Macaca fascicularis: one gene and its partner. The protein of the gene in region 1 purifies or fractionates together with the protein of each later gene. This does not show direct contact. Links are inferred from orthologs where the notes say so. Each region holds a gene or a part of one and is shown in the gene's direction. Other genes may lie near its edges.

The links. Proteins that work in one complex are often made in the same cells at the same time.
Region 2: the proteins of MCM7 (region 1) and CDC6 purify together in Homo sapiens (affinity purification with western blotting; 3 studies listed by BioGRID). This does not show direct contact. The link is inferred for Macaca fascicularis from reciprocal best matches to the Homo sapiens genes MCM7 and CDC6.

What each region holds. Positions count from the first base shown.
Region 1 is NC_088377.1:48,750,980-48,758,572, reverse strand, and holds the start of MCM7 (DNA replication licensing factor MCM7), read left to right. Parts: upstream 1-3,190; 5' UTR 3,191-3,287; coding exon 3,288-3,318; intron 3,319-3,818; exon of another isoform or gene 3,819-4,111; intron 4,112-4,499; coding exon 4,500-4,579; intron 4,580-4,840; coding exon 4,841-5,005; intron 5,006-5,060; coding exon of another isoform or gene 5,061-5,068; intron 5,069-5,194; coding exon 5,195-5,319; intron 5,320-5,394; coding exon 5,395-5,575; intron 5,576-5,888; coding exon 5,889-6,026; intron 6,027-6,306; coding exon 6,307-6,456; intron 6,457-6,640; coding exon 6,641-6,755; intron 6,756-6,840; coding exon 6,841-6,972; intron 6,973-7,202; coding exon 7,203-7,286; intron 7,287-7,593. Other genes in the region: AP4M1 (AP-4 complex subunit mu-1), read right to left, coding at 195-257, 930-1,010, 1,103-1,213, 1,651-1,747, 1,830-1,936, 2,594-2,703, 2,811-2,868. UniProt on the Homo sapiens protein: Acts as a component of the MCM2-7 complex (MCM complex) which is the replicative helicase essential for 'once per cell cycle' DNA replication initiation and elongation in eukaryotic cells.
Region 2 is NC_088390.1:61,379,042-61,386,130, forward strand, and holds part of CDC6 (cell division control protein 6 homolog), read left to right. Parts: coding exon 1-61; intron 62-379; coding exon 380-486; intron 487-794; coding exon 795-934; intron 935-1,767; coding exon 1,768-1,868; intron 1,869-1,989; coding exon 1,990-2,109; intron 2,110-3,115; coding exon 3,116-3,180; intron 3,181-7,089. UniProt on the Homo sapiens protein: Involved in the initiation of DNA replication. Also participates in checkpoint controls that ensure DNA replication is completed before mitosis is initiated.

The sequences.
Region 1 (7,593 bases):
AGACGGGGTCTGGCTATGTTGCCCAGGCTGGTTTCAAACTCCTGGCCCCAAATAATTCTTCTACCTCGGCCTCCCAAAGCACTGGGATTACAAGCATGAGCCACTGTGTGGCTGTTGCTGGGAGTCTTAACCACCCCACCATGTTTCTCAAGTCCCATTTGTCCTCAGCTCCAGGTTTGGGAGCTCAGACTTACATTAGATGCTATCAGTACAGACAATCTCTCGACCACATCCAAAAAAACTTCATTCTTTTGGCTCTGAGAAAGAGAGAGGGTTTGGATGGTTGGAAGCAGAATAGCCTATGTTCTGAAATGGACAGACAGGGAGAAAGGACAGGACAGTCAAAGCTACAGCTCTAGGGTGGGGACATGGGTGATGGAAGGGATACCCACATCTAGGGGAGGTGGGAGAGGTGTCAAGATCTTTTTTTTTTTTTGAGATGGAGTCTCGCTCTGTCGCCCGGGCTGGAGTGCAGTGGCCCGATCTCAGCTCACTGCAAGTTCCGCCTCCCGGGTTTACGCCATTCTCCTGCCTCAGCCTCCTGAGTAGCTAGGACTACAGGCGCCCGCCACCTCACCCGGCTAGCTTTTTGTATTTTTTAGTAGAGATGGGGTTTCACCGTGTTAGCCAGGATGGTCTCGATCTCCTGACCTTGTGATCCGCCTGTCTCGGCCTCCCAAAGTGCTGAGATTACAGGCTTGAGCCACCGCGCCTAGCCGATCTTTTCCTTTTTCTTTTTTTTTGCATTTTTGGGTTTTACCATGTTGGCCAGGCTGCTCTCGAACTCCTGGCATCAGGAGATCCGCCCACCTCGGCCTCCTAAAGTGCTGGGATTACAGGCATGAACCACTGCGCCCCAACGTAAGATCTTGGACTCTGGGGTCCCAGAGCAAAACCAGAGGGTCTGACCCCATGGATTCCTCCCTCACCTGGTCAGAGCGACTGGACAGGACAGGGCGGCTGGCTGCACTGCTGGGAGCCACTTTGCTCTGTTGTGTCTCAGCCCCAAACTGTAAAGCATCCAAAGCAATCAATCATCAGGTCTGACAACCCCAGCCAACCCCTCTTCTCCTTCCTCACCCTCCTCTTTCCCTCTGCTGACCAAGCCAACGCTGCTGAGGTCAAAGAGGCTGAAGGGCTTGCTGACCACAGCTTCCGTCTGGATGAAATTCCTCAGCATCTCTGTGGATGTGGTCTGTACATAGCCATAGTCCTAGTGGTAAAGGAAGGACAGTCCGAGTGGTCAGTGGAGGGAAGGGGTAAAAAGGGGGAGTGGGGCCAGGCATGGTGGCACACTCTTGTACTCCCAGGTCTTTGGAAGGCCGAGACATAGGAGAATGGTTTGAGACCACGAGTTCAAGACCAGCCTGGGCAACAGAGCGAGACTCCCGTCTCTACAAAAAATAAACAATGAGCTGGACACAGGGGAGGAGGCTGAGGCAGGAGAATAGCTTGAGCCCAGGAGTTCCAGGCTGCAGTGAGCTATAATTGCACCACTGCACTCCAGCCTGGGCAACAGAGCAAGACCGTCTCTAAAAGGAAAAAAAAAAATAGACTTGGCCTCCTAACCACAGCATCCCACAGTAGAAGAGCAGATGTATCTCCAGGGGAATTAGGTGGGGGCCACAGAAGGGGATCATTGATTCTCACCAGCACTTCATCCAGGAGTTCGTAGACCAGAGCCACATTGCGGGAGATGGTCCCCTCGCCCAGGGAGCCACAGTAATCGCCCAGAAGAGTGGCCAACCTGAGGAAACACTTGGAGCGTGTATTTCCTCCTCCTCTCAGACCCCTGCCAGCTAGCAGGTGCCCAGCCCAACCCTCCTCACCTGGAGAGCAGTTCTAGGAGGCTGAAGGGAGAAACGTTTTCTGAAGTTGTTACCACCAAATACAGGCTGCTGTGTCTGATGTGAATGAAATGACGGCCATCGTGATACTGAAACACAGGCAGGGAGAAGAGGGGTTAGGAAAAGGGAGGTGGAGTAATCAGAACCCAGGAGACCTGAGCTGGGATCCCGATGCCTCTTACTAGTTTGGGAGATACATGACAGATCCCTGAGCCCAGCTTCCCATGTGGAAACGGGGTTAATTATAGTAACTACCCCAAGTTGCTGATAATGGAGTCACGCAGGGAGCTGGGCCTGGTGTGTTGCTGGCGCCCAATGGACGTTTTTTTTTTCCCCCACCCCCATTACCCCGAGACGGAGTCTCGCTCTGTCACCCAGGCTGGGTGCGGTGTCCGGATCTCGGCTCACTGCAACCTCTGCCTCTTCGGTTCAAGCGATTCTCCTGCCTCAGCTTCCCGAGTAGATGGGATTACAGGCGCCCGCCACCACGCCCAGCTAATTTTTTTTTCGTATTTTTAGTAGATGCGAAGTTTCAGCATGTTGGTCAGAATGGTTTCGAACTCCTGACCTCAGGTGATCCGCCCTCCTCGGCCTCCCAAAGTGCTGGGATTACAGGCGTGAGCCACCGCGCCGGGCCTCTTGTTAGTTTTACTTGGAGAAATACAACCCCCAAGTGGAAGCTACCATGGAACCAGTCCTGGGAGGGAGACGGCGCCCACCCGGCCCGCCCGGGCCCAGCTCCTCACCCGCCTCCCGCCAGTGGTTACCATGACAACCGGGGACTCGTCTCCTGGCAGTCCCGTCAGCTTCCGGTAGAAGAGCTCGGCCACATCCCGGCCGCCACTGTCCCCGCGGACTGGCGGGTGGAAGGACTCAGTGAAGGATCCTGCGACACGGGCTGGCCCTGGGCGCCCCTCCCGCCCGGTCCCTCCGCCCCTTCCCAGCCCCGAGGGTCTAGGATACAGTCTTTGTAGATGAGCGGGTCCCCCTTGGAGGACAGAATGAAGAACTGGGAAATCATGGCCGTCCTGGAGAGCAGACAAGAAGACGGCGAAAGTTGGGCCTGCCCCGCCCTGAGGCCCCGGAACAAAAGAACGCGCGTGCGCTGGCCCTTTAAGAGCGATTCTCCTCCGCCGCGCCAGCTTGGACCGCGGGAAACCCGGCGCCCGCCCCACCCCGCCCGGAGATTCCCTTCCGACTCCCGCACCGCCTCCCCGTCACTCATTCGAGGCCCGCCCGGCGATTGGCTTGCGGCTAGCGGGAGGGAGAAAGGGCCGGCTTTTCCGATTGGCCCGCACGCAGTGGCGCTGGTCACGTGGGGGGCGACGTTTCGCGCCAATTTCGGTTGGCCGGCCACAGTCCACCGCGCGGACGTTCTCAGCTTCCCCAGAAGCAAGACCTCTGAGCCCGCCAAGAGCTGCCGCACAGGCCTCGGCAGCGATGGCACTGAAGGACTACGCGCTAGAGAAAGGTACGGGTCTACAAGCCTGGGAGGGCGTCCTGCGCGGGGAGCCTCCCGGGGAACACCTGTTGATGTGAGCTGGGGTCTTCGAGGACCGGGGTCAGCGGGTTCTGGGGCGCGCGACGCCAGAGGCAGGGTCGGGTTGCGGCCTGGCTAAGGCCCACGGGACCTGGAAGGCGCGCGAGGGGCATCGACGTTGAAGAAAAGGTAGTAATCCCACTTGGGAAAGGTGTTATAGAGTTGGGGGGCTTGGGGGGCGCTACCCGGCTGAGGGCTGCACAGGGAAGAGTCGCGCCGAGGACCTCAGGAGACTCTAAGGGCTCTGGACCCCGGACCCGCTTCCCTCCGCGCTTTTGGATATTCCCAGGTTCCCGCCGCCTCCCCGAGGCGCGCGGAGGCCCCGGGGGCGGGCAAGCCGGGGCCGCTACGTGCCGGGATTGGCCGTTTGAGGCCGCCCTCCGAGCGGAAGTGGAGCCGGGCGGAAGTGGCGCGACGCGGGTGGAGGGAGTGTCGTGTAAACAGTGTCCTTCCGCGTGGCGGCCTCGGAGAGAGCTGCGACCCGGGGGGGCGTGCCTGGGATCCGGGAGCTTCGCTCGGGCCCGGGAAAGGCGGCAGTGGGCTGGGATCGCAGTGGCCCTGGGCGTGCTGGCCAATGGCTGAACTGGCTCCCGCCTCGGGCGGAGGAATCCCGGGCTGTGAAGCGGCTGGAATCCGGGCCCATGTGCTTCTTTGTTTACTAAGAGCGGAAGCGCTGGCGGGAGCGGTGGTGGGGTGCGGGACCTGCCTGGTGGCGGAGGTCTCGGTGAGATAAGGGGCTCGGGGGACCCAAAGAAGGCAGGGGATCATGGGGGTGGAAAGAAAGCTGAGAACCTTGAGGCCGGAGTGTGGGAGGCCAATGGGGAACGGCGCTAGGATTTTAAACTAAAGTAGGGACAGGAATTCCCCTGGGGAATAGATGTTGGATCGCCCTGTGCACTGCCCCGGGCTCTTTATTCTTCGCTGGTTAAAACAGACTGTGCAAAAGAGTTATGCCCACTTTGGGGAGAATTCGGTAGTTTATTTAAATGTTCATATTATTAGTTCATAGGCTGTGTTTTAAGCGAAAATAGGTATCTTAGATTTCTATCAGAGGGATGGGCAGTGATGTGTCTTAAAGTTTATGTTTTATGATTTTACATTTCACGTTACAGAAAAGGTTAAGAAGTTCTTACAAGAGTTCTACCAGGATGATGAACTTGGGAAGAAGCAGTTCAAGTATGGGAACCAGTTGGTAAGTATAAGATTGGGTAAAGGGAATGGGGAAGTGGGGTGCATAAGGAGCCATAAGAAGTAGCTTGGCTGGTTTTATTAAAGAGGTAATAATTAGAGGGTTTGGGGGCTGAGAAGCAAGTATCTCTCTAAGTGGTGCTGTGTTCCCCCCTGTGGATGCCCAGAGCCTGTGCTGAGTTCTCAGTAATGTATCTTCACATATGAACACTGGTGCACAAGGTGAATGTGGCTTTGAGGTGTTTCTGTCTCTTTCTCACCTGAGGTTCGGCTGGCTCATCGGGAACAAGTGGCTCTGTATGTGGACCTGGACGACGTAGCCGAGGATGACCCCGAGTTGGTGGACTCAATTTGTGAGAATGCCAGGCGCTACGCAAAGCTCTTTGCCGATTCCGTACAAGAGCTGCTGCCTCAGTACAAGGAGAGGGAAGTGAGTGGCTAGAGAACAATGGCAAACAAAGGGAAAGGCATTTAAGCTTCTGTAGAGAGGCTGGTCAGATACTGATGTTTTCTGAGCAGGCAGAAAGAAGGGGCATTTCAGTCTGGTGTTCTCTGCACTCTCCTTTCCCCATCCTGTTGCTCGTTTATTTATTTATTTGTTTATTTTGTCCTCCTTTAGGTGGTAAATAAAGATGTCCTGGACGTTTACATTGAGCATCGGCTGATGATGGAGCAGCGGAGTCGGGACCCTGGAACAGCCCGAAGCCCCCAGAACCAGTACCCTGCTGAACTCATGCGCAGATTGTGAGTGGTCTCTGTTTGGAAGTATGTAGGGATTGGTTCTCCAGGATCTTGTTTGTGACTGTTTTCTCCCCTTAGTGAGCTGTATTTTCAAGGCCCAAGTAGCAACAAGCCTCGTGTGATCCGGGAAGTGCGGGCTGACTCTGTGGGGAAATTGGTGACTGTGCGTGGAATTGTCACTCGTGTCTCTGAAGTCAAACCCAAGATGGTGGTGGCCACTTACACTTGTGACCAGTGTGGGGCAGAGACCTACCAGCCGGTACGTGTGGAGCAAGGAGCAGGAAAGCCCTTACCCATTAGTCGTTTTGTAGAGATTAATTTGATCCCGTGATGCCTATCATTTTCTTTGCTTGTAAAAGTTGCCTGTGTGTTTGCCTTTCATTGTTGGGTATGTAATGGTCTTTCTACCTATTTCTTGGGTGTTTGTTGTTGACCCAGAGTTAAGTTCAAAGGGTTCTTGACACTTCCAAGATGTCTGCCATGAAGAGAAAATGTGATTCAAGGAACCGACCGACCCAATGGGGCTCTTTTGCTTCTGACTTCCTTTTGCTGCTTCTGTTCTCACATCCTAGATCCAGTCTCCAACTTTCATGCCTCTGATCATGTGCCCAAGCCAGGAGTGCCAAACCAACCGCTCAGGAGGGCGGCTGTATCTGCAGACACGGGGCTCCAAATTCATCAAATTCCAGGAGATGAAGATGCAAGAACATGTGAGTTTGGGGTACGTGGCCCTGGGCAGGTGGATTGGGAGTCCACTTGAATCCTGTAGTCACTTGTGGAGTGGCAGGAAGAAAGAAGAACGAAAGAGGGAAGTGCAGGAGGGAGGTGGAACTAGAATTTCTGAGAGCCTTGGGAAGGGGAAACTCAGTAGCCCTCCTGTGGGCTTGTCTGTGACTAGGCAGCCTGGGAGCCTTTGAGTGGGATGCCTAGGGAGGGAAGGTTGGGTCCTCGTCCATTTCTCCTGGCCTTATGTGCCTTTCCCTCCCCTAGAGTGATCAAGTGCCCGTGGGAAACATCCCTCGTAGTATCACGGTGCTGGTAGAAGGAGAGAACACGAGAATTGCCCAGCCTGGAGACCACGTCAGCGTCACTGGTATCTTCTTGCCAATCCTGCGCACTGGGTTCCGACAGGTGGTACAGGTAAGGAAGAGTTTGACATGAGGATCGTCCCCTTTTCCCTCACCTACTCATTCTACTCGCACAGAGAAAAGTGGGCAGCAAAACCCCAAACAGAACCCAGGGATTTGTCAAGAAATCGTTAGGGAATCCAGTGATGGGCAAGTTGAAGGGATTGCATCTGTATCCTGGCATTTTCCTGCCCAAGGGTTTACTCTCAGAAACCTACCTGGAAGCCCATCGGATTGTGAAGATGAACAAGAGTGAGGATGATGAGTCTGGGGCTGGAGAGCTCAGCAGGGAGGAGCTGAGGCAGATTGCAGGTGAGGGGCAGGGGAGATAGAGGAAATTCCATTTACATCCTAGCCCCCTTTTCCCCCAAAAAATACAACCTTAACTTCTCTACAGAAGAGGATTTCTACGAAAAGCTGGCAGCTTCAATCGCCCCAGAAATATATGGGCACGAAGATGTGAAGAAGGCACTGCTGCTTCTGCTAGTGGGGGGTGTGGACCAGTCTCCTCGAGGCATGAAGATCCGGGGTAAGAAGGAAAAAGGGAGAGGCTCGGGGGGATGAAGTCATTTAGGAGGGAAAAAGGATGACAAGTGTCTCTGTAGGTCAGAGTATAAGAGTGGACATCTTGCCTTCATGGACACAGGGAGGGCTTAGAAGTAATGCTGGGTGTTAGAGGGAGGCAGAACTCAAAATTGCTCTGTTGTTGTCTAAGTATTGGGAGAAGAGTCATTCCAGGGCTGCCTTCCCTTCCTCCAGGCAACATCAACATCTGTCTGATGGGGGATCCTGGTGTGGCCAAGTCTCAACTCCTGTCGTACATTGATCGGCTGGCCCCCCGCAGTAAGTAGTTGGGCCTTGGGAGAGGTGAACATAGTGACAGATAGGGCCACAGTGTTTATTCAAAAAATGGGGGTGCATGGTGGCTCACACTTGTAACCCCAATGCTCTGAGAGGCTGAGGCGGAAGGATCGTTTGAGACCAGGCTGGTCTACTAAAAAGTTTGTTTGTTTGGGTATTTTTTTTGTTTGTTTCCTTTTTTTGAGACGGAGTCTCAGTCACCCAGGCTGGAGTGCAATGGCGTGGTTTCGGCTCACTGCAACCTCTGCCTCTCAGGTTCAAGCGATTCTCCCTTCTCAGCCTCCTGAGT
Region 2 (7,089 bases), on another chromosome or scaffold:
CTGGGAAGGACATGATGAGGAAATTAGAAAAACATATGACTGCAGACAAGGGCCCCATGATGTAAGTATTGTTCTGCTTCATGTTGCTCTGTGAAAATCTGCAAGGTCTGTTGCCCATAAAAAGTACATTTTGTATATTTGCTCTCTGAAGAATAGTTACATAAGTTTAAAGGGAAAGAAGAGAAGGAAGATACACCTAATTTTAAATTGGATTACTTGTAGATGATGTGGAGTATCCTTGTAACAGTAACTAGAGATAGGATAGATTATGATCTTTAAACTGGTCTGAGCTTTAGGAAAGTGACCTGAAGACAGCCTATACCAAACATTAGAGGGTTAGGAAGGTGAATATGGATTCTAACTGTTTCTCTTTTTATAGTGTGTTGGTATTGGATGAGATGGATCAACTGGACAGCAAAGGCCAGGATGTATTGTACACACTATTTGAATGGCCATGGCTGAGCAATTCTCGCTTGGTGCTGATTGGTTAGTGCTCAATTGTTAATGTTACGTGGTGGTTTTAAAGTTTTTTTTTTTTTAAATATATATTCAGCTTATTTATCAACTATTTTATCTTAAACCAGCTTTCTGCCTTGTCAAAATAGAAAGTTAAATGACTAGGTATATCTTACCTAATAGATATATCTTATCAATTGGGATGGGGTAGGAGACAGCTGTGAAGCAACATTAAGACGCTAGATTCTATAACTGGAAATTTATTTAGCTTTCAGAGGATTTAGTTTTCCCTTTAGGATAATGTAACCAATGATCAATGTTGTTGATCTCTTCCTTAGGTATTGCTAATACCCTGGATCTCACAGATAGAATTCTGCCTAGGCTTCAAGCTAGAGAAAACTGTAAGCCACAGCTGTTGAACTTCCCACCTTATACCAGAAATCAGATAGTCGCTATTTTGCAAGATCGACTTACTCAGGTCAGTCAGTGCCAACTATTTTGCCAAATTATGTGTTTCTTGGATCACCTGTGCTAGGAAAATTTAACAATAGTTTTAAAATATTTTTGCCTTAATTGCTTTATTAATGGAGCAAGAAGTTCCTGTGGACCATAGAGAGAACATTTTTATGTGAATTTCTGCTTCATTCATTTACTGGATGTCTCAGTGTTGAAATAAAATCAGGAGTTAGAGGAATTTTGAGATGGAGTTTTGCTCTTGTAGCCCAGGCTGGAATGCAATGGCATGATCTCGGCTCTCTACAACCTCTGCCTCCCGGGTTCAAGCAATTCTTCTGCCTCAGCCTCCCGAGTAACTGGGGTTACAGCACCCGCCACCACGCCCAGCTAATTGTTATATTTTTAGTAGAGCTCGGGTTTCACCATGTTGGCCAGGCTGGTCTCGAACTCCTAACCTCAGGTGATATGCCTGTCTCGGCCTCCAAAGTGCTCAGATTACAGGTGTGAGCCACTGTACCCGGCCTCAAGTGCTTTCTTTAATGACTTTTAAAAAATAGGGCCTATGAAAAAACTTTTTCTGTTGAAAGTAACTAAATAGATATTTTATTTTTGCTAATTTCAGTTCTGATTGCTTTTTTTCCATTTATGAACTTCTACCACATCCATACAAAATGCTTAAATGTGTGAAAACTCTCAAATATCTCCATTATTTATGAGAAGAAAAGGCATCTTTTTGACCCTAAGGAGTTGCCAATCAAGTTTAGGGTTAAATGTGAAAATATTTATGCTTGGGACATAAATTACCGAGGGAGAATCTTATAGTTCAAACTGTCATATTCTATGTCTTGTCTTAAGGTATCTAGAGATCAGGTTCTGGACAATGCTGCAATTCAATTCTGTGCCCGCAAAGTCTCTGCTGTTTCAGGAGATGTTCGCAAAGCACTAGATGTTTGCAGGTGAGTTATGGCACTGTTGCCTCCTTTTATTAAAAAAAAAAAAGAAATGCTGTTAATTGTCTCATGTAACTCAAGTGAATGTGGCTTAAGAGGCTCTGTTCTGCTACTTTTTTACGCTCAGAAAGGAGGACTTGTTTCTCAGTGGGGAGCTCTGGATTTCCACCGTGTTAATGTCTGAAACATTATCAGTCCATTACCTACAGAGGGAGAAACAAATGAGATGTTGCTGGCACTCCCTGTGGTGATTATAGATTGGTTAATTACATTTGTATTAAAAAAGACTCCAGTTTACTTTTCCATTAGCTGGTCTCAAGCAGGTTTATTTATGGACCTGAACCATCTTTGCCTTTAGACTTTTTTCCTTCCTTTCCTTTTGTGAGCACCCCTTCTTCCCTCCAGTTGGTGGTCCCCCATAGTTGTACTCCAGACCTCTTTCTCCCTTCCCATCCCCCTGCCCCTCCTGCTGGGGAAAGCCTCTGTGCTGACTGATGAAATTTCTTCCTTCCCAGTAGGGACGCTGGGTCCATTAAAATGATACTTGCTGTGCTGGCCTGCTGGTCCAACCTCCCCCTATTGCCATGCAGAAGACCCAGGTCTGGCTTATGGCTTCCTGTGGGCAAAGTACTTTGGAGAGAGCAGTGGGAGAGTAAGCTCTTCCTATTGCTAGATTGCATGATCCTGAATTTGAAAGTTTCCCCTAATCAGCAAACTACTTGGGTAAAGACTGCAACTATGAGCAATAGTCATGTAGGCTAGGGTGGTTTAGCCTACACATATCCTATGTATTTATAACTGAAGATATCTCTTTTAGGTTTGGTGTGTATGGGTGGTGCTGGCTCCCTTTAGTTAGTCACCCACACTACATATCCTCTCTCCTACCCATGACATTTTCTCCTCATCCAAGATGTTATCATTGGCTTAATGTATGATGACCTACTTGGCATCTATTAGGAGGAAACCATTGAAGTTTCTCAAATCTGACGTCCATGAATTATTTCAAAGCAATTAAGTCCCCTTATCTGAGAAATAACCCAGTTTTGTTTGGGGGCTTTAAAATTACAAAACATCATAATTTTAAAGTTAGACATAGGATATGTATAGGCTAAACCATGTTAGCCTACATGACCATTGTTCATAGTTGCAGTCTTTAAGCAATAGTCATTAATGTGCCTGCTTTTGAGGCTGGTGATTTGGTATGGTGTTTGGTTTGGCTCACACTAAATTAATTTTAGAAATTTTTTTTATAGGAGAGCTATTGAAATTGTAGAGTCAGATGTCAAAAGCCAGACTGTTCTCAAACCACTGTCTGAATGTAAGTAGTTTATCTTCTTCTTGTCTTCCTTTGTAACTGGAAGCTTAGCTTTTCTGAGGAAAGAGGTAAAAAGATGAAATGAACATAGTTAAATCCAAAATCACCCATTTTTGTGTGTGTCTGTGTTTTTAGTCTGTTTCATCTACTTTATTTCAATCTTGCCTGCCAGTACTATAGTTCATGCATTACTGGAAATGAGTTCCCAGGGTATTGCATAAATGGCTGGGACAGAGTAAGTTTTCTTTCCAAGCTCTAAAAATGAAACTTGTAGACAATGAGGTTGGATCAGCTCTCTAGGTGCTTATGTTGCGTGCACTTTAGGTCTCAATATAGGTGAAAGCAAAGCCTGATAAATAAGGGAGAATTGGGTAAAAGAATTGTGAGGCCGGCCGGGCGCGGTGGCTCAAGCCTGTAATCCCAGCACTTTGGGAGGCCGAGACGGGCGGATCACGAGGTCAGGAGATCGAGACCATCCTGGTTAACACGGTGAAACCCCGTCTCTACTAAAAAATACAAAAAACTAGCCGGCCGAGGTGGCGGACGCCTGTAGTCCCAGCTACTCGGAAGGCGGAGGCAGGAGAATGGCGTGAACCCGGGAGGCGGAGCTTGCAGTGAGCTGAGATCCGGCCACTGCACTCCAGCCTGGGTGACAGCGCGAGACTCCGTCTCAAAAAAAAAAAAAAAAAAAAGAAAAAAAAAAAAAGAATTGTGAGGCCAGAGGCCCGGCGCGGTGGCTCAAGCCTGTAATCCCAGCACTTTGGGAGGCCGAGACGGGCGGATCACGAGGTCAGGAGATCGAGACCATCCTGGCTAATACGGTGAAACCCCGTCTTTACTAAAAAAATACAAAAAACTAGCCCGGTGAGGTGGCGGGCGCCTATAGTCCCAGCTACCCGAGAGGCTGAGGCAGGAGAATGGCGTAAACCCGGGAGGCGGAGCTTGCGGTGAGCTGAGATCCGGCCACTGCACTCCAGCCTGGGCGACAGAGCGAGACTCCGTCTCAAAAAAAAAAAAAAAAGAATTGTGAGGCTAGGTGTGGTGGTTCACACCTGTAATCCCAGCACTTTGGGAGGCCAAGGCAGGAGGATCGCTTGAGCCCAGGATTGTGAGACCAGCCTGGGCAATATAGTGAGACCTTGTTTCTACAACAAAATTTTAAAAATTTTGCAGCCATTAGAAATATGAGTTCATATCCTTTTTAGGGACATGGATGAAGCTGGAAACCATCATTCTTCAGCAGAGTAACACAGGAACAGAAAACCAAATACCACATGTTCTCACTCATAAGTGGGAGTTGAACAATGAGAACACATGGATGCAGGGAGGGGAACATCACATGCCGGAGCCTGTCAGGGGTGAGGGCCAAAGGGAGGGAGAGCATGCGGGACTTAAAACCTAGATGAGGGGTTGATGAGTGCAGCAGGCCATCATGGCACATGTATACCTATGTAACAAACCTGCACATTCTGCACATGTATCCCAGAACTTAAAGTTAAAAAAAAAAAATTAGACAAGCATGGCGTGTGCCTATAGTCCTAGCTACTTGGGAGGGTGAGACAGGAGAATCACTTGAGCCGGAAAGGCAGTGGTTGCAGTGAGCTGAGATCGTGCCACTGCACTGCCAGCCTGGGCAACAAAGTGAGACTCTGTCTCAAAAGAATAATAAGAAGAAAAATTATAAGTTCAACTTGGGATAGATATCTCAAGCTTTTAAAGAAGTCTAGAGGGTAGAGGTAAAAATATCATACTGCTACAGTAAGCTACACGCTATCACAAATGACAAAACTAATTTTCCATTCCCTCAGCCCTGTTGTTTCGGTTGTGGCAAATGTAAAATGGCCATGAACTACATATCTTACAGTATTTGATATCCAGTGTTAGTCTTTATAAACAGAATAGTAAGATTTGATTGTTTCTTTTTCACTCCTACACTAGCTGGGAGTTAGTAAAATTGTTTCTGGCATTATAGTTCTGCATGAAATTCTTTCTTTTTTTCATCAATTTGCTGAAATAAAATAAAAATATTTCAGAAGTGGCCAAAAATAGTGCTTAGGCTAATAGTAGGCAATATATACCAATGTATAGACTTAGATACTGGTTTCTTCTTCCATTTCAACTTTTCAGATTATTCTCTTTTCCTCCTTTTTCCCCACCAGTAACATTTAGGCTTGTCACTGGCCCCTGTGAGCACCACTAGCACAAACATAATTAAAAGAGGTAAAGAGGTTGTAAGTTCTATCTTTTGACTTCGGGTTTGTGTGGGATTGGCTTTTTTCTTTTTCTTTTTTTTTTTTTTTCTTTTTTCTTTTTGTGTGAGACAAAATCTTGCTCTGTCTCCCAGGCTGGAGTCCAGTGTGCAATTATGGCTGGTGCGATCATGGCTCACTGCAGCTGCAGCCTCCCAGGCCCAAGCAGTCCTCTCACCTCAGCCTCCCCAGCTCCAGCTACTGCTAATTTTAAAATTTTTGTAGAGTCAATGGGTGGAGGAGTCTCCTTATGTTGCCCGGGCTGGTCTCAAACTCCTGGGATGAAGTGATTCTCCTGCCTCAGCCTACCACAGCTTTGGAATTACAGGCATGAGCCACCATACCAGGTTGAGATTGGCTTTTAATGGCTCCAGAAAGCTACAGGGAGAATGACTTCAACTAAATATAAGAAGAAAATTTCTAATAACTAGAACTAACTGGGCTTCCTTGAAACATAGTGGGTTCTCCAGCATTGAAGATATTCAGACAAAAGCTGGATAGATGCCACTTGTTGAGATTGTTTTAGAGAGGACTCAGCCATTGGGTAGGGAGTAAAAATAGACTTCTAAATTCCTTTCAGTTTTAAGATTCTTTTACTTGATCTGTGATCTCCGGTTTCTCCATTAGTCCTCTGCAGCATCCCTTTGTGGTAATATAATATTATAGAAGTAAATTGTTGTGGGACAACTGCAAGTGATTTCAGGAAGTAACTTCAGGCAAAGGTTGTTACAGAGCACGTTTCTCTGTCTTGAAATTCATGCATCTCCAAAACGATGAGGCCATAGTCTTTTTTTTTTTTTTTGAGACAGGGTCTTGCTCTGTCACCCAGGCTGGAGTACAGTGGCGTGATCTTGGCTCACTGCAACCTCCTCCTCCCAGGCTCAAGCCATCCTGCCACCCCAGCCTCCTGAGTAGCTGGGACCACAGGCACACACCACCACACCCCGCTGTTTTTTTGTATTTTTAGTAGAGATGGGGTTTCACCTTGTTGCCCAGGCTGGTCATGAATTCCTGAGCTCAAGCCATTAGTTATTTTTCCTGATCCTCTCCCTCTACCCTCCTATAGGCCCCAGTGTGTGTTGTCCCCTCTGTGTGTCTATGTGTTCTCATCATTTAGCTCCCACTTAGAAGTGAGAACATGTGGTATGTGGTTTTCTGTTCCTGCAGTAGTTTGCTAAGGATATAGTCTTATGCAGCTTATTGGCAATTTCCCAACCCCTGGCTTTTATTAAGATGATGATATCTGACCAGGCATGGTGGCTCACGCCCATAATCTCAGCGCTTTGGGAGGCGGAGGAGGGCAGATTGCTTGAGCTAAGGAGTTCAAGACCAGCCAGGGCAACATGATGAAACCCCATCTCTACAAAAAATACCAAAAAAAAAAAGATGGTGCTATCTGCTAGCATATCTAGTGACATTTTCTCAAGTGTTGCTCTACTGCTGATCAGCTTGGGCAAGTGAACCAAACCTCAAAGGTCATTTGGGGAAGCCCTCTGAAGGACTGATATGGCAGTGACTTCACTCGCCACATTTAGCCGCTCATTTGATCCAAAATATTAGGGAATTTTCCAACTTTTTTTTTTCCTTTTTTTTGAGACGGAGTCTGGCTCTGTTGCCCAGGCTGGAGTGCAGTGGCTGGATCTCAGCTCACTGCAAGCTCCGC